Arabidopsis thaliana: one gene and its partners. The protein of the gene in region 2 interacts with the protein of the main gene of each other region in a pairwise test. Each region holds a gene or a part of one and is shown on either strand. Other genes may lie near its edges. The genes, in order: CAT9, AT2G20780 and TMT2.

Evidence for each region.
Region 1: the proteins of AT2G20780 (region 2) and CAT9 interact in a protein complementation assay, tested with the Arabidopsis thaliana proteins (one large-scale study listed by BioGRID).
Region 3: the proteins of AT2G20780 (region 2) and TMT2 interact in a protein complementation assay, tested with the Arabidopsis thaliana proteins (one large-scale study listed by BioGRID).

What each region holds. Positions count from the first base shown.
Region 1 is NC_003070.9:1,799,965-1,805,693, reverse strand, and holds CAT9 (cationic amino acid transporter 9), read left to right. Parts: upstream 1-1,693; 5' UTR 1,694-1,751; coding exon 1,752-2,001; exon of another isoform or gene 2,002-2,086; coding exon 2,087-2,496; intron 2,497-2,575; coding exon 2,576-2,752; intron 2,753-2,823; coding exon 2,824-3,048; intron 3,049-3,160; coding exon 3,161-3,337; intron 3,338-3,433; coding exon 3,434-3,670; coding exon of another isoform or gene 3,671-3,697; exon of another isoform or gene 3,698-4,019; coding exon 4,020-4,115; coding exon of another isoform or gene 4,116-4,133; exon of another isoform or gene 4,134-4,191; coding exon 4,192-4,329; 3' UTR 4,330-4,584; downstream 4,585-5,729. Other genes in the region: AT1G05950 (uncharacterized protein), read left to right, coding at 1-27, 110-325, 441-507, 588-742, 812-878, 970-1,121; AT1G05930 (B3 domain protein (DUF313)), read right to left, coding at 4,761-4,845, 5,405-5,729. UniProt on the Arabidopsis thaliana protein: Permease involved in the transport of the cationic amino acids.
Region 2 is NC_003071.7:8,946,293-8,951,358, forward strand, and holds AT2G20780 (Major facilitator superfamily protein), read right to left. Parts: upstream 3,138-5,066; 5' UTR 2,879-3,137; coding exon 2,665-2,878; coding exon of another isoform or gene 2,602-2,664; intron 2,571-2,601; coding exon 1,204-2,570; 3' UTR 950-1,203; downstream 1-949. Other genes in the region: GCL2 (GCR2-like 2), read left to right, coding at 1-304, 411-749; AT2G20784 (uncharacterized protein), read left to right, coding at 3,329-3,484; AT2G20790 (clathrin adaptor complexes medium subunit family protein), read right to left, coding at 3,870-3,935, 4,047-4,094, 4,178-4,234, 4,309-5,066. UniProt on the Arabidopsis thaliana protein: Plasma membrane sugar-proton symporter.
Region 3 is NC_003075.7:16,794,998-16,801,993, forward strand, and holds TMT2 (tonoplast monosaccharide transporter2), read right to left. Parts: upstream 4,815-6,996; 5' UTR 4,075-4,814; coding exon 3,996-4,074; intron 3,848-3,995; coding exon 3,281-3,847; intron 3,199-3,280; coding exon 2,258-3,198; intron 2,162-2,257; coding exon 1,974-2,161; intron 1,880-1,973; coding exon 1,435-1,879; 3' UTR 1,227-1,434; coding exon of another isoform or gene 1,017-1,226; 3' UTR 951-1,016; coding exon of another isoform or gene 876-950; 3' UTR 786-875; downstream 1-785. Other genes in the region: AT4G35295 (homoserine kinase, putative / HSK), read left to right, coding at 336-386, 876-950, 1,017-1,226. UniProt on the Arabidopsis thaliana protein: Sugar proton-coupled antiporter which contributes to vacuolar sugar import (e.g. monosaccharides including glucose, sucrose and fructose), particularly during stress responses (e.g. in response to cold).

The DNA of each region.
Region 1 (5,729 bases), on a different chromosome or scaffold from region 2:
TCGAATGGAGAGAAAGGTGGTTTCGAGGTGAAATCTGAAATCTACACTAACAATTATATATTCTCAATTCAATCTTCAAGTATCCTTTATCACCCTTTTGTAAATGCAGGTTGCGTCTGACCCAAAGGAACTTAAAGAAAGAGGTCTCCAGAGGAAGAAAGCTGTTCCTGACAGACTTAATAGCATTCATAAGCTTAATTCAACTCCTGCTTCTGCTCATAACTCTAATCCAAATCTTGAGGAGCTACAGACGTCTCTTCTTTCTAAAGCAACATCACTATCCGAAACTGCATTGAAAGTTCTTCTTTGCAAACGAGATAAACTGGTAATAACTGTAGAATTTGATCAAAGATACACAACACAGCAAAAAAACTGATTGGCAATAGCATATATATCCTTATTTTATGATTAAGAGCTGCTCTCTTTTTCTCTGGCTGCAGACTCGTCAACAGAGGAACATAGAAGACGAGATTGCTAAATGTGATAAATGCATCCAGAACATCAAAGGTATGTATATATACATATACTTTTCCTTTCTGCACAGCTTTGTTTTTACATGAATCTTAGTGATCTCGTGGGTGTTATAGGTGATTGGGAGCTGCAATTAGAAACAGTACTCGAGTGCTGTAACGAGACATACCCGAGGCGTAACCTTCAAGAATCTCTTGACAAGTCAGCATGCCAAAGCAACAAGAGGCTGAAGCTCAGTGAAACTCTTCCTTCTACTAAAAGTCTGTGTCAGGTTAGTTTATGGTTACTTTAATCATTTCTTGTTCAAAGAATTAAGATTCATTGCCCCTATTTATTGCAGAGACTCGATGATATCTGTCTCATGAATAACTGGGTACTACCAAACTATCGTGTGGCTCCATCAGATGGTAAAGTTTTGAGATCATTTGCCAAACTCGTAGTTCAGCTCCATTACTCCCTTCAGATTTGCATGTTGATGTTGATGCTTTGTTCAAAAAGGTGGATATGAAGCTGAAGTAAGAATCACGGGGAATCATGTCGCATGTACAATACATGGAGAGGAAAAGTCTGATGCTGAGGAAGCTAGGGAATCTGCGGCAGCTTGCTTGCTAACAAAGTTACAACACGACACAGCAGCCAACTTATCATGATTATGTGAGATTCAAGAACAACTCAGAAACCAAACTAACTTCCAGCATGAGTAGAAAACAACCCTGATTTTGATATGTATGGCCATTTTGGACGAATAGCAAGATTTGTACAAAACTCCATCCTCTGGTTGAGATTTTGAGATATATTACAAGAAGTCAAAGGTATTAACTGATGCAGAAACTAAAGTAGAACCAGAATCATGTTAAAAACCTAATCCTAAGCCTCCTGCATTTAAAACAATCCTAGAAACTCAAAAACCCAACAAAGTGCTAAAGAGGGATGAAAGAAATCCTAGTAAAAAAAAACCCTAATATTGTTAACTAGACCAAAAACCTCAACAATGGCCTGAAAGATTAGACCAATATGAATCTCAACAGACACAAGAAACTTGTCAACAACGAAAATAGGAGCTATACTGTCTCATGGCAAAACAGAGGACTCCATCGCACCTAAAGGCCCAAAGACAGATGTCGTCGCGAGCTTTCAGTTCATTAGAGGGTTATTGGGTTTAAGTGGTCTCTGTTGGGCCCAATGGTTGGCCCAATATTTATTGATTTGGATTCTGATTATCCCGGGGGTGATTTCAGTCATCGTCTCGATCAATCTTCAACTCTCAAATTGAAGTTTCCATGGGAGGCCACGAAGGTTTCAGCAACCAACGCCTCTCCTCCGCCACATGGTTCTCTCATTTCCGTGCTTCAGCTCTCCGATCTAAATCACTGCCCCCTCCGTCCTCGCAGACTGCCGTTCGCTCCACCTCTGGCGACTCTCTGGTTCGTCGCCTCGGCCTTTTCGACCTCATACTGTTGGGCGTCGGCGCTTCCATCGGCGCCGGTGTCTTCGTCGTCACCGGAACCGTCGCTCGCGATGCTGGACCTGGTCAGTTGAATGAATTACTTTTTCTCACCACCTCCTTGATTCGTTCAGAATCGCTTAGTGATTATTGCTGCCGTTGCGTGCCTAGGAGTCACAATCAGCTTCTTGCTAGCTGGAGCATCGTGTGTGTTGAACGCTCTCTGTTATGCTGAACTTTCATCTCGTTTCCCTGCTGTTGTTGGTGGAGCTTACATGTACTCTTACTCAGCTTTCAATGAGATCACAGCTTTTCTTGTTTTCGTTCAACTCATGCTTGACTATCATATTGGCGCCGCTAGTATCTCCCGTAGCTTGGCCAGCTATGCTGTTGCTCTTCTTGAGCTTTTTCCAGCCCTCAAGGGCTCTATTCCTCTCTGGATGGGAAGCGGCAAAGAGCTCTTGGGAGGGCTTCTCTCTTTGAATATTTTGGCTCCCATTTTACTTGCTCTCTTGACCCTTGTTCTATGCCAAGGTGTGCGAGAATCTTCCGCTGTCAACTCCGTTATGACTGCTACTAAGGTAAGCTTCTTTCCTTTTAACCTTCTCTTCTTATCTTTACCAAAAAAAACTCTTCTTCACTATATTGTTTCTTCTGTAGGTCGTGATCGTTCTCGTTGTGATTTGTGCCGGTGCTTTTGAAATTGATGTAGCAAATTGGTCTCCTTTTGCGCCTAATGGTTTTAAAGCAGTTCTCACTGGAGCTACTGTTGTCTTCTTTTCATATGTTGGATTTGATGCAGTTGCTAATTCTGCTGAAGAATCGAAGAACCCTCAGGTCTGCCTATATATATGTTGAATGTACATACTATCTACAAAGTCTCTTATGTCTGTTTAATTCTTGTTCAGCGCGATTTGCCAATCGGAATTATGGGGAGCCTTCTGGTTTGTATCTCGCTGTATATTGGCGTATGTTTGGTGCTCACCGGGATGGTCCCTTTTAGCCTCCTCAGCGAAGATGCTCCTTTAGCTGAAGCCTTTTCATCAAAGGGTATGAAGTTCGTCTCAATCTTAATCAGTATTGGTGCTGTTGCTGGACTCACAACTACTCTGCTTGTTGGTCTTTATGTTCAGGTGATAATATATATATATGTATTTCTTTTGTAATTTCTTTTATTATGTACTTGTATATTATGCAAACCAAGGTAACACTCTTGAGTAATCATATGATATTTCGGATAAACAGTCCAGGTTATATCTGGGACTTGGAAGGGATGGTCTATTGCCTTCAATCTTTTCCAGAATACACCCAACTCTTCATACACCTCTTCATTCTCAAATCTGGTGCGGCATTGTAGCTGGCGTTTTAGCTGGCATATTTAATGTACATAGTCTTTCCCATATTCTGTCTGTTGGTACATTGGTACGTCAAGGTCTTAATTTTAAATATCTCTTTGCTTTTCTTATTGATACTTATACTTTCCAGTTTAACATTATTTTCGGTGTTCCATTTCTTCAGACTGGGTATTCAGTTGTTGCGGCTTGTGTTGTGGCATTGAGACTGAATGATAAAAAAGATAGAGAGTCGTCCAATAGATGGACATCAAGTTGGCAGGAAGGCGTCATTTGCCTTGTTATAATTGCATGCAGTGGTTTTGGTGCTGGCGTATTTTACCGTTTCAGTGCTTCAGTTATATTTATTCTCCTCTCAGTTGGTGTGGCAGTTGTTGCTTCAGCAGTTCTTCATTATCGCCAAGTAAGTAGCCTTAAGTATAAGCCTTAATTCCATAGCACACTCTTCTTAATTTCATAGCGCCAAAAAAAATAAAATAAAAAAACCAAGTTTCACCCCTGTTAAAATGCTAGATACTAAGTCTTTTACTGATACAGCATAAAATAGAGACCACCACTAGCATGTTCTGGCACTTAGAACTCTACAGTGATACTATGAAAGTCTGTGACTATTGAAGTCTTTGCATTCTTGGTTTAGAGGAGAAGTTTGTTAACATCAATTAGGAAATATACCCTCATGGTTGTCTCCACAAATCAGGCAAATGCCTTGCTAGCTATGCTTCATGTTAAACCCCTCAGCTTTTCGCTTCCAGGCTTATGCTCTGCCTCTAGGTTCTGGGTTTAGCTGTCCTGGTGTACCCATTGTGCCATCCGTTTGCATTTTCTTCAACATCTTCTTATTTGCTCAGGTACACGCTAAGAACTAACTTTATACTAATTTCACATACCATATGATCTACCTTTGATTTTTCCGCTACTGTGCAGTTGCATTATGAAGCATGGATAAGATTTGTTGTTGTCAGTGTGCTTGCAACTGCCGTTTATGCCTTGTATGGGCAGTACCACGCAGATCCGAGCATGTTGGATTATCAGAGGGCACCTGAAACTGAAAGCGACGCTTAGTAATGCTACATTATAGTTGTGTTACTTAAAGCCATTTGTAGAGTTGATAGCAAGTTTCTGCGTTTCGTGAGAGACATACTGTATGTCACATACATATTCAGGTCGAGTTTAAGGATTGGATGGGATAAGGCAGTTAAACATTATTGTTGTAAAGAAGTTAATAAAAGTATGCTTGTGCATTTCAACTAAAGCCTTGAATGACTGAAAATGGCTTTTGTGCTACCAAATAATCCCAGAAGCTAGCAATGTTCACATAAACATACTCAATGTTAGAGTTATTCAACGGATCATAGTATAGAATCAGAAACAACAAGCTTACTAATAACAGACATCCAAACCCTCTAGCATTGTAGTAAGACCAAAACCCTCTAGAATTGCCCCAACTTAGCCGGCTGTACAAATGAAGATCAATCTCCACAGAGACAAGAAGCTTAGCAGAGACGGCGAGCATTGGAAGAGCTACTCTGTCTCAATGTAAGAGGAGGAACAAGAGCAAAACAGAGGATTCCACGCCACCTGAAAGACCAAAGACTGATGTCTTTCTGATTTACCCCTCTCGGTGACACCACACGCCTCTTGGGGCTCGTGGTCTCCCGTTAGACACAAAGATGGAGTCTTCTTGGACTCGGCAATGTAGTTTTGAAGAAGGTTAAAGAAAAAGGCGATGAAGAAGAAGTGGAAGCCCCATTAAGATTTTGTTGTGAATGAAAACTGAAAAGAGTGACTTTGTTGTTTTATATAGTTCGTTAATCCGTTCTGATTTACTTCGTTTTCCTCTTATAATAACTCTAAAGGTATAATCTTTTCTTTTTCTTTTCTTGAAAGCATTATTTAGAGAGTGTATTGTATTAAGCATGAAACAGAGACTGTGCTAAGCCTCCTGCATTTTAAACAATCCTAGAAACTCAAAAACCCGACAAAGTGTTAAAAGAGAGATGAAAGAAATCCTAGTAAAAAATAAAAACCCTAATTTTGTTAACTAGACCAAAAACCTCAAGAATGGCCTGAAAGATTAGACCAATGTGAATCTCAACAGACACAAGAAACTTGTCAATGACGAAAATAGGAGCTATACTGCCTCATGGCAAAACAGAGGACTCCATCGCACCTAAACGCCCAAAGACAGATGTCGTCGCCAGCTTTCAATTTATTAGCCTTAACAACGTCGTTCCAGCCACAACTCAGAAAGTAATTCTGGCCCCATCTCTTCAAAATCACACTCCACTTTTGAGACCTTTGATCCACGAGAATGGCTCCAACTCCCATCGTCTCATCATTGTAGGTATCTTCTTCTAGGATACTCCGCTCCTCAGGCTTCAAGAAGTCGTTACTGATTAATCTGTTGAAATGCATTGAGAAACGGCCATGTGTCGTTGTGATCACATCAGTTGTGGACAGAG
Region 2 (5,066 bases):
GGAGATTATCAAGGAAGGAAGATCAATGGCTAAGAAAGGAAGCTCACCGCTTATGTTTGAATGGTATGGCAAAAGGTACTGGGGTGCAGCACATGGACTTGCTGGTATTATGCACGTATTGATGGATGTTCAGCTGAAGCCTGACGAGGCAGAAGATGTGAAGGGAACCCTTAAGTATATGATCAAGAATCGGTTTCCAAGTGGAAATTACCCTGCTAGTGAAGAGGATAAGAAGAAAGATATTCTTGTGCATTGGTGTCATGGAGCCCCTGGGATTGCCCTCACACTTGGGAAGGCGGCTGAGGTGATGGTGCCTTTTTAGTCGAAATCTTTGTGTGTGTGTTGTTTTATTTGCTTTCAATACATTATTGAGAGAGAGTTGATCTCTGGGAAATGAAAACAAAACTCAGGTTTTTGGGGAGAGAGAGTTTCTGGAAGCGAGTGCAGCTGCAGCAGAGGTGGTTTGGAACCGTGGATTGCTCAAGCGCGTGGGGATCTGTCATGGAATAAGTGGGAACGCATATGTTTTTCTTGCGCTTTACAGAGCTACGGGAAGGAGTGAGTATCTATACCGTGCAAAAGCCTTTGCCAGTTTCCTGCTTGATAGAGGCCCCAAGTTACTCTCAAAAGGAGAAATGCATGGAGGTGATAGTCCTTATTCCTTGTTTGAAGGCGTTGCAGGCATGGCCTATCTCTTCCTTGACATGGTCGACCCATCTGAAGCCAGGTTCCCAGGTTACGAGCTTTAAACTTCTTGATCGATAACAATCTCCGTCCATCAAATCCTTCTCTCTTGTTATGGAGGATGCACAAGGTAAGAGAGGGTGTGAGTGTATGTGTGTTTAGTACTAGCAAAATCTTCTTGTTGTTTGATGGTGAATAAGTTTGAGTTGATATATAGCCGAACTGTCCGGAGAGCCTGTAACTTTATGAGTGTTAGAAGGAGAGTGTGAAACATGAAGTGAACACAAAGGTTCTGTCATTTCTGTATATATTGTCTTTTGAGTTGAGTATCACATGGTTTCTTCTTGAAACAAGGAACAAAAAAACAGAGCAGTTGGTTTCTTTGGAATATGCACTGGGTCTATACCATCATCAAACGCACTTACAAAATCTATCTTACGTTCTTTGGATCTAATGCAAGAACAGAACACCATAAGAGTATCTTTTCACTTCTGCCTCTTCTACTTTAACATGATCAATTCAAAACTCCTGTTCCTTGCGCACAAGACGCTCAGCATCTCCAAGCTCAACTTCACCGTCTTTTCTTTCCAGCCCACCCTGAAACATCAACTCTATCTGCTCCAGTGACTTCCCGCTTGTCTCGGGGACTAGCACATACACGAAGATAACTGAGAGTGCAGACACGAGGGAGAAAACGAAGAAGGTTCCTCCAACAGTGATGGCACGTGACACAGAGAGGAAGGACATGGCCACCAGACCGCTGCACACCCTGTTCCCAACCGCCCCAAGCGCAGATGCCTGGGCTCTTAATCGTAATGGAAAGATCTCTGATGTCAAGACCCAGCAAACAGGTCCCATTCCTATGGAGAAGAAGGCAACGTTTCCACAAACAAAGAGAAGCGCCAAGGTTATCCCAAGCGTTCCTTGGCCGAGGAATGTGAGCGTAAAGCTTAGACAAAAGAGACACAGAGTCATTCCTATTGTGCTCACATAAAGCAGCGGTTTCCGGCCAACACTATCAATCAGGAAGGTGGCAAATAGTATGAACACTGTTTTCGTGACACCAACAGCGACAGTTGCAGCGAGCAGTTTGGTCTCGTCTTGTATCCCAGCCTCTTTCAGGATCTCTGGACTATAGTAGACTGTGGCGTCAATTCCTGTGATCTGCTGGAAACACTGGATTCCAAATCCAACAATCAGCATTTTCCGTACAACAGGAGATGGGCTAAGAAGCTCACGCCACACGGGCCTGTCCTCGCTGCCTTCTGTATGTGCAGCCGCCAGTTGTATCTCTGCAAGCCGCTCTTCCGCTTCGTCATCTCGCTCATTCGTTTTCATGAGCACCTCTCGTGCACTGTCCACTCGGCCTTTCATCACCAGCCACCTCGGCGACTCAGGGATCACACACAGCGCAAATCCTATGAACACCGAAGGAAGAATCCCAACTGCAAGCATGATCCTCCAGCTGATATGCACGGAAAGCCCCGAGAAAGCGTAGTTCGAAACATAGCCCAGCAAGATCCCTAGATTTATGAAGATCTCAGGGAACGAAGTGAAAAATCCTCTAGCTACGGTGGGGGATATCTCGGCGATGTAGACAGGAGCGATCATGACACCAAGCCCAATCCCAATGCCGGCTAAAGTTCTCCCTATCATCAAAACCTCGAAAGACGGAGCGACAGCCATCACGGCAGCACCAGTCTGGAAGACGAGAGCAGCCAAGGCCATGGTCCATTTTCTACCGATAGAGTCAGAGGTTCTGCCGCCGGCTAAGCTGCCAAAGAGTGAGATGATGCTAAGGCTACCAATGAGCACTTCCGTCTGCACCTCCGTTATTTTGAGATCCTGCTGTATGAACAACACCGCACCGCTCATTACCCCAACATCTGACAAATACCAAAAACAGAGCACACATACCTTTTTGTAAGTCAACAAAGTAAAGAAGAAGAAGAAGAATCCGATTATATAAGTAAAACCGACCGTAGCCGAGAAGAACATTGTTCAAGGATGCAAAAAAGGCACAAGCCATAACGTATTTTCTGGTTCTACTGTTTCTAGCCTCTGCTTCACGATGATTCTGCGATTCCTCCGCGTCGGAGTCCATTCTCTGATACTTATTCTTCTTATTTCCGACAGAGACCGCCGGAAAACCCGAGCCACCGCCATTACCAACCTCCGGAAGATTCTTCATCATCTCCCTCCGCCGAGGCTTCAGACAGCAGACTCAGGTGGTGTCTGTTTTCGGAAAAAAAGAGAATTCAGACAACGACTTGAGGAAGAAAGTCGTAGATCTCGGAAGAAGGGCTTTAGATGACCAGATCTGAACCGGAGAGACTTCTTAGAAATCTCATCGTCTCTATTTGACCAAATTGGTGGAATTTTCTAATGAGGTAATCCAATTTTCAAAAGACAACTTGACTCCTTCCATTAACATTACGTTTCAAGAAATAGGATTTTTTTTCTTTTCTTAAAGCGTAAAAAAAGTTGGAAAGATATTTAAGAACTTATTAAATTAAGATAGATTAGAGTTTTCAAGGTAATAACAGCTCATCTGTTAGCTTAGCACACACTCTTAAAAGGCATGAAAACATTTATTGAAAACTAAATAAATCAGGGTTTCGAGTTTGGACAGTTAACCTTTATTATGAAAAAAATGGAATTAACCTCCAATGGCAGCTTGCTCCCTATGAATGAGATCTGTCGGTGGTTATTCCAAGCTCATTGGAACTACAGAGACAGTGTCATTGACGTGGCAACAACAATCTTTAAATTGATTGATATTTTTCTTCTAATTTTGTAATTTCATAAAATACAGACCTCATATTGCTGCAAACCTTGGATTATAATCTCCTTTATGAGCTGGATATATACTATATCTAGATAGCATTCTCTATATAGAGCAATTTCTTTCTTAGGCTTGTAGACTAATTATGAAACAGTGGCAACTTCATGAACACAACCACCTTACGAGTTTTATTATCACATGTTCCATTCCAGACAGATTTGCAACTAAAACAACATTCATCTTTCTTTATCTCTCAAGAAACAACAATAATGTACAGATACACTTCCGCTGTAAAAATCAAACTGCTCATTCATACGTTTAATGCTTTCAAACTCAAACAAATAAATCACTTCCTTGGGATGGGAAAATACAATACCAGTGAGGCTGCGACTTGGGGAAATCACACGACGGCTGCTGATGGAGCTTTCCCCAATGTGTTCCACAATATATAATCCCCTGAAGTCACCTGTTTACGCACATATCATGTAGAGCGCCTTTAGAGTTTTATCCAATCCGGTTCAAACGTTTCCTGTGCACTTCAATATTTATACACTATATATTGTTGGCAGTGTCTTACCTGAGCAGAAAACTCAACCGGTGACTTTGTGGTTGGGTAGATATTGACCTAGTAAAACAAAAGGAGGCCATAATAAGTCGATAATATGGGCTAACACTGTTAACTAATCATTGCAAGTTGCGAAAGCTTACTGATTTTGTGTCGATTGACATTCGAGATACAGATGCCCCGACAATCTTGAACGAGACCTGTAAACCAGAAGATAGATTTGAACAACAACCAAGTCCAAAAGATTTCAAAAGGAAGCCAAAGACATACATACCTTGGCATAGTCATAGGCTTGCCAGCAGAACGGTTCCTCCAACTCAGCTGCTGGGAGATCCTTGTTCATTTTCTGCACCAAGAAGTCCTCCACGTTCACCACATTCTCAGCGCTCTCATCCTCACTCTCTTCATCATCCCCATCCCCTTTTCTTCTGCTCTGCAATGGACTAAACTTGATTGTCCCAGGGAAAGTTGCCTCAAGGCTTTTCCCAGAAAGACTACGTCCGCTGCCCAGAATCCTCCACTCAACAGAGTGTTCTGTGGTTAAAACAGTCCCAGCTGACGGAGTCCCATCAAATGCCACTATCCGTCTCCGTGGAAAGGGCATAGTAATAGTGCAAAATTCCATTGACAGAGGAGCCTTGTAACCTTCCATGAGGTGCACCTTGAAGAGGAATGCACCCTCGTCTTCTGAAACCATTGATAGCTGATAGAACCCTTTCACTGGTGGTCCGAGTCCACAACCTGCCTGGTATCGCATGAGAACAAAGTTACCCAAGGGAGGCTGGAAAACAATGTTCTGCTTGTCAATCCCATGTGCTGGAACTTGGGCACATGGATGGAAAGATATAGCTTCGATATGGGCTGTACTCAGCCCTGCTAGAGGAAACGACACATCAGGCAGCCCTTCTAGTTCTGCCCGACAGTTTATCTGTCCCGCAACAGATACATTATCAGGAATCTCATCGCGGTCGTACATTGCAGCGCTAACGGTCTCATGAATTGTGAACAATAGCCTTTGCTTTCCTTTGTACA
Region 3 (6,996 bases), on a different chromosome or scaffold from region 2:
CCAGTTAGTTTTCATATCATCGTTATGCAAATTAAAAATCCGTGAGAAAATCGATTTTTGGGAGGAAAAAAAAAAAGTAAATAAGAAGGGATAGGAAATGAACCTCAATTTGTTGATGGGCTTCTGAGTATTATATGGGCTGAAAATGAGATTTGCAGTCCAAGCCTCTTTCGTCCACCGCCATGTCCGTCTTCCCCGTGTGCGTGTCCGTGACTGATAAACCAAAAGCCTCCGATCATCCGATGAATCATGAACCGGAGAAACCCAAAAGTCGCCGATCATCCGATGAATCATGAACCGGATAAACCCAAAAGCCTCCGATCATCCGATGAATCATGAACCAGAAAACGCAAAATCTTCCGATGAACCATTGCATTGAAGACAGGGTAAACAAAATCCGGAATCCTTTGAATTCAAACAAAAGTAGAAAACTTCCGACGACGGAGACTGAGAGAAGATATCGTAACGCCATTAACGAGAGACAAAGGAGGAAGAAGAAGAATCAGAGTTGAATTAGAAGCGAAGGAAACAGGAATCGAAGAAGAGAATGGTGAAAATCAGAGCAATTGCGTATGTAATTTCATCTCTCTCTCTCTCACTTAAGAATTTTCTATCTCTGAGAAGGGTTCCTCAATTTATAGACACATCGTTTGTGTTTGGGATTCAAAGTTTCCTTTTTTCTTAACGGCTCTTTGTTGTTTCCTTTTTCTTTGTTATTTCCTTTTCTAAAACAAATTTTGGATTGTTTCCTTTTTCCACTTAAAAAGCTTAGAGCAATGAGAGTCTCGCACGTGCCCTCATTAGCCAAGATTCGCAAGAAAACAATGGATGATATATTTGGCATTAGCTTTGAAACGTGTAGCGACTGATTGTAGCCAAACCATAGAGCAGCTTGTGTGATTGCAGAAACAGAGCTCGAGGCTACAAATCACAGAGCTCGAGGCTACAAGGTTTAGAGTTTGAGCAATGAAAGGAGAAGAAGCGAGGAAAGACGCTGAATTGCTCAAGAATTATAGGTGAATAAATCACTTTCTGCTTTGAATGGGAAAGAAGCTGGAGCATTTGGTCGCACCATAACTGCGGTTGCAGTGATTGACACGGCGGAGAAAGGTTACGAGATCGGAGAGAAAATGGTCCAAGTGTTCTTGAAGATCGGAAACTTGAAATCTACTGCTTCTGTGAAGAAACTTGATAAAGTCGGAGCTAGACTTATCGAAAGTATGTAATTGAAAGTTTACGGATTTGTTCTATGGATTCTGCAAATGGTAAATGGTAATAAAGAGATTCGTAACTGAAAGTTTGAAACTTTTTTTTCTCCCCACATGAAGAAGACGAAACAGAGAGAGATGATTATTACTGCACAAAGTAAAAAGACAACAACAAATCCACATGAATATTACACAAACTTTTTATCTCAACAAGTCTTTCAGTTTCTCACTCGTTTTTAGCAGCTTCAGCTTGTCTAGCTCCAACAGAAAAGAACTCTGTGATGACTTCAAGTGGCATGCCTTTAGTTTCCGGGACTTTAATGAACACAAAGACCCATGAAATGCAACATACGATTGCGTACATTCCAAACACACCAGCTAGTCCAATGGATTTGAGCAGCACGGGGAGACTGTAAGTGACGATTATGTCACAGATCCAGAAGGTGAGTGCGCAGATGGCGATGCAGATTCCGCGGACTCGAGTTGGAAAAATCTCTGAACAGAGGATGTTTGGAGCAGGACCGAAACCCATCACGAAGAAGCAGAAGTAGAGCACAACGCTTACGGTTGATAAGACCGCGTGCACAATGCTGTTCATGTGAACAAGATTTGAGATTACTAAAACCAATAGAGATGCTATCAGGATTGGTATCGTGGTGAGAAGCAAGGTCCTGCAAATATAAAATAAAAGACATTTCATAACGCATTTTAGCTTGTTTCGTTTATGTGTATTGTAAGAACAAAGGAAATTTAAGTTTTAATCACCTTCGACCAGAAAGATCCATGAGCCTCATTGCAACAGCTATTGCAGGTAACATCACAAAGGTTGTCAATGCACTTATAAGTAAGGATGCTGAGGAAGAACTAATCCCCATGTTCGATAGTAGGATCCCGACACCCGCCTGCTCAAGGATTTGCGGTGTGTAGTAAAGAACTCCGTTGATGCCTGAGAACTGCATTTCCAAGAGGAAGCAGGAAAACATAGAATTAGCATAAACCGCATTATTTCTTCTGTGATTCACTAATTTTGATGTGGCTATCTAGACTACCTGCTGAAGTATTTGAAGTCCAACTCCTACGACTAATGCACGCTTGACTCCAGGATCATGAAGATCATGCCAAATTGACCCTTTAGTTGTTTCGGATGGATGTACCATAGCAGGACCAATTGTATGTTCTTTGAGAAGGTCTTTGGAATAAAGAGCTGGTTGGCTAACCAAAGCAGACGCTTGTACAAAATCTGCCTCACCGGTTCCATCACCACCAGGCAATGAAACAATTGAGCCACGTCGAGATCCTGGGAAACCTTCTTGATGCAAGTATATCCGTTTAAACCCACCTTCTTTCTGTCCCGATTCATCTTCTCTTTCCGTCCATTTCCATGCCACTTGCCATCCACCTCCAATCCCCATACTACCCGCTCCTTCCCCTTGAGCTCCCTGCACTTGACTTCCATGTCTGAAGGTAGAAAGAGTTCCATGAGCAGTGTGAGGCATGTCTTTCTCCATGCTTGTCGTTTGACGTGAGATCAACGGAGAATGAAGATCATCTTCAGAATCATCTCCATGGTCGGATGGATAATCCTCACCTTCTCCAACAAGATTCTCTTCATCCCAATCTTCATGTCTTGGTTGATTCCCTCCAACACTGAACATACTCCCAAAATGTGGGAACAAGGCACTCCTCATGCTTCCAGTGTCCGGCATCTTCTCGTGAACGCTCCCAAACAGTGTGACAAGAGGATCAATCAATGAGCCTTGCCTCCTGCTCATTGTACTTCCATGGCGAGACAAAACACTCATAGTGCTTCCTCCTTTGACTGGCCTAGCAACCCAACTCAGCCCTTCTTCTGCACCATATAACTTAATTTGATCCTTATCCACAGCTATATCATGATCATCAGTAACTTCATCCGCGGGACCAATTATATATTCCTCTATGGTTGTTTCACCTCCAATTCCAAGACCCTCAACCAACAAAGCCATCTCACCTATACATTGCCACATAAGAACATTCAATAGAAAAGATTGGTTTCATTGAAAGAATTAGAGTCAGAACGATTTAAGACTAACCAGACACATCTTCGCGACCACGCAGTCTCTGAAGAACCCGCTTTGCTTCAAGCATTCGACCTTTGCTCACGAGCCACCTTGGGGACTCGGGCAAGAAGAAGACCGTGAGGAAGAAAAAGACAAGGGAAGGGATGAAAAGGACACCAAGCATCAATCTCCAGCTAGGTGATGGCATCAACGACATTCCGAAAACCATACAGTAAGATAAGAACATCCCTCCAGAGCCAGTGAACTGCGGTAGCGTATTCAACAGTCCCCTAATCTCAGGTGGTGCAGTCTCAGATATATAAATAGGAACAAGTGTGACCACAAGACCAACCCCAAATCCATCTAACAACCTTCCTAAGAGCAACACATAAACATTCGGAGACCATAGCATTACTAGAGAACCAACAAAGTAGAGAATTGAGGACAATATTAGCATGGGACGGCGACCAAGCCAATCAGCTACCCCTCCAGAGCATGTTGTAATCAGAGTAGCACCAATAAGTGACATCGCCACAATTAGACCTTCCACTGATGGATTACTCTCCAAATTAAACTCCTTTTTTATGTACAACACAGCTCCTGCAGAGTACCCAAAGAAAACTTAAAATCCATCACACAAGCAAAAGAGATAAGCTAAAAGATCTGTGAATTGTATCCATAAAAATCCTGACTTTATCGATCCTAAATTTCATAAACAGAATTATGGATACAGAAGATAATCAATCACCTGCAATAGTTGCGTTATCCCATCCTTGTAACAAGTTGCCAACAGCAGCAGCAATAGCAACAAGCACAGCTCCACTCATAATTCCGTCTTCTATCTTTTATCAAGAAATCTGAAGAGAATTTCGCAAAAACAGAGTCACTGATCAACGACGATGAGTGAGTGAAACAAAATCCACCTGAAAATTCGAAAATCAGACACAATCACTTGGTGAGCTAAAAGATAAAACAGAGAGAGATAACACCAAAAAGCATGACCTAAGACTATAACAAACCCTTTAGTGACGTAAAAGACACATACCCAAAGGAGTTCTAGAAAAAAAAAACAGAGGTGAAACCTCAGATGTCAAAATCAAAACTTTGAATAAAATTTGACTACTTTTTATCTCTACCAAGTAGAAGAGAAAGTAAGAAAGTACGAGAGAATATGATATACAGAGAGAGAGATGAAAACTAGGGTTAGCAACTTGGAATTGGAGGCAGAAGAAGCCACTATCAGTGAGCCGCTGCTTCAATGGCGTCACTAAGCAATCATAAAGCATTGTTTACCCTTTTGGTTTAAATCAAAAAAAAAGAAAACGAAAGCTAGATTTCGAAGTAACCGTGAGAATATAAAAATGAATACTTTTTTTTTTTGTGCGGAAGGACAGTGAACAGAGAGAGAAGCCTATGGGATTAGTGACACCTGCCGTTTTGCTCCTGTCCTCTCAAACCACGTATGTGTATTGTGTGTGTATGTCTCTCTTCTCTTTCTCGTGTTTGCGTACAGAATTTTTTCAGAGAATTAAGTACATCTTTAAATTTTGTTATCTTTTCGATTTGGGTCCACGAGTTTATTCACGGGCCTATACAATCAAATTAATATCTCGAAATGTTTCTGCTTTTTACCATCTTCGCTTTCATGAAGTAAAGGTAAAAACGGATATTAATTTGGGATTTTGTATGTAAAAAGATGAGTTTAATGTCGGCATAATTGGGGAAAAATATTTGGTGTTTTTTTGTAAATATGAAACAAATATAGGATTGGTTTTTGAAATCTTAGATTCATTGGGACTTATACGAGAAACTAGAGATAAATATCTGAGTTTTCTGAAAACAAAGTTATTGGTAAAGTAAAGTTTAGTTTGTTTACATCCGGAAAGCATCTTCAAATCATTTCAACTTTACATAATTAATCAAGAAAGAAAGAAACAATGCAATAATGGAGAATAATGTCCAAAGTCCAAATACAATGAGACACTTTAACTTTAGTTAATTGTGAGTCGTATTCGTATGTTACAATATAATGAATAGTTTTTTCTTCTTCACTTTACTATTCTTCTTACAGATTAAAAGGGAAGAAAAAGAATGTATAAAAAATCATATTGAGTTTTTTTTTTTTTTAGAACCGAGTACCAAATTCGATATACAGTCTCTAATTCTAAATGAATAACATTAACAAATTTTGATCAACGAAAAACAAACCATGTGACTACGACAACTACTGGTTTTCTGAAAATAAATATCTATCGTCCGTATATCAAAACTTGATATGTATAAAACAAAAGATATATTGTTAAACGTCGTTGTTAAAGTTCGTATATTTGACCGCAAAGATTACCATAAATGTATTTAGAACATAGGAAAAACATCTAATTGGTTAATAAATATTTATGACTCCATATTTCTTAGATATTTTCCGGAAATGAACGTAGTACAAGCGTTATGTTTGGAACTACAGTACACACCACAGAATATAAACACGCAATAGAATCTTTTTTCATAGACTTTGAAAGTTATGGCATGTGAATGCGAATATATAAAGATTCTTGTCCACATCCTCAATTAATCATCATCATTGCTTCTTAAAAATTCCGTAGAATGAGGAGAAACGTACCATTTATGTTTACTGGTAGTAGTGATTACTGATTTAAGATATTATTCTTGGGAAAGAAACATCTAGTAACAACATTTTGAAAAGAAAAAAATCAGAATGATTATTACGGAAAAATGAAAAATTCAATAACGTTATGTTTGTCACCAAACTAATGTTAAAACGAATTCAAACCAAGTTGGAGAGATGTTACAGGACAGTTTTGCTAAAAAAAATCAGCCAGCACATTGATACAAAACCCAAAATATAATTTTGCTTGTGTACGTGGAGGTGTCAAATTTGATTCAGTCTTGTGAAAATGTCAATTTGATAGCGTTTATAATTAAAATTTTCGGTTCTTTTTTTTATCTGGAATTGAAATGTGTAATATGTTATCATTTTAGGCCTTATTGTAAGGTCTAAAGTCTAAAACAATACAATAATACGGCCTTTGGGGTGTCTGAATTTTGTATTTGAACATTGGGCTGGATCAGTGAATAAACAAGGCCCAAAAGTAAAACTTATTAGGGATTATGTGCGGGGCTCCAGAAAGTTGCAATATATGGAAAAGTCAATCTCTTACGTCATAATAGTCAGTGACGCCATAATACTGTTTAAATATTTGGCATATCTTTATCTTAAGAAAAAATCTCAAGAGATTACTATTCTTTCTGATAGGAGATTGAATGAACGGTTGCTTCTTTTACAAGTAGATCACATGTATTTAAATTAGTCTTCTCATACGACGAGAATAAAACCATCGTGCTTAATACTTAAATTTTTTTACAATTAACGGTAACTAGTAAAACCAGAAATGCATTTTGATTTTGTACAAACCAACATTCTAATTTTAGTTTTTTTTTTCAATTACAATTTAAACGATAAACAAAAGAGAAACTGGTTTAAATTTAATAATGCAAAAGCAGAAGAAAGAAGGTGAGAGGAAACAGCGGAGAGAGACAGAGTCAGAGAGGTGTAGAAGTAGTAGCTGGTGAGCACTAATAAAAGACCTTTCTTCGCTCAATCGCCGCCGTAAAATAAAACACCATCACATTCTCATCCAACGAATCTAATCTATCCGACCAAACCAAAGCTCTTAAAAAATCTATTTTTATTCTTACTTCAATCTCTGAAATAAATAAACATAAAATAT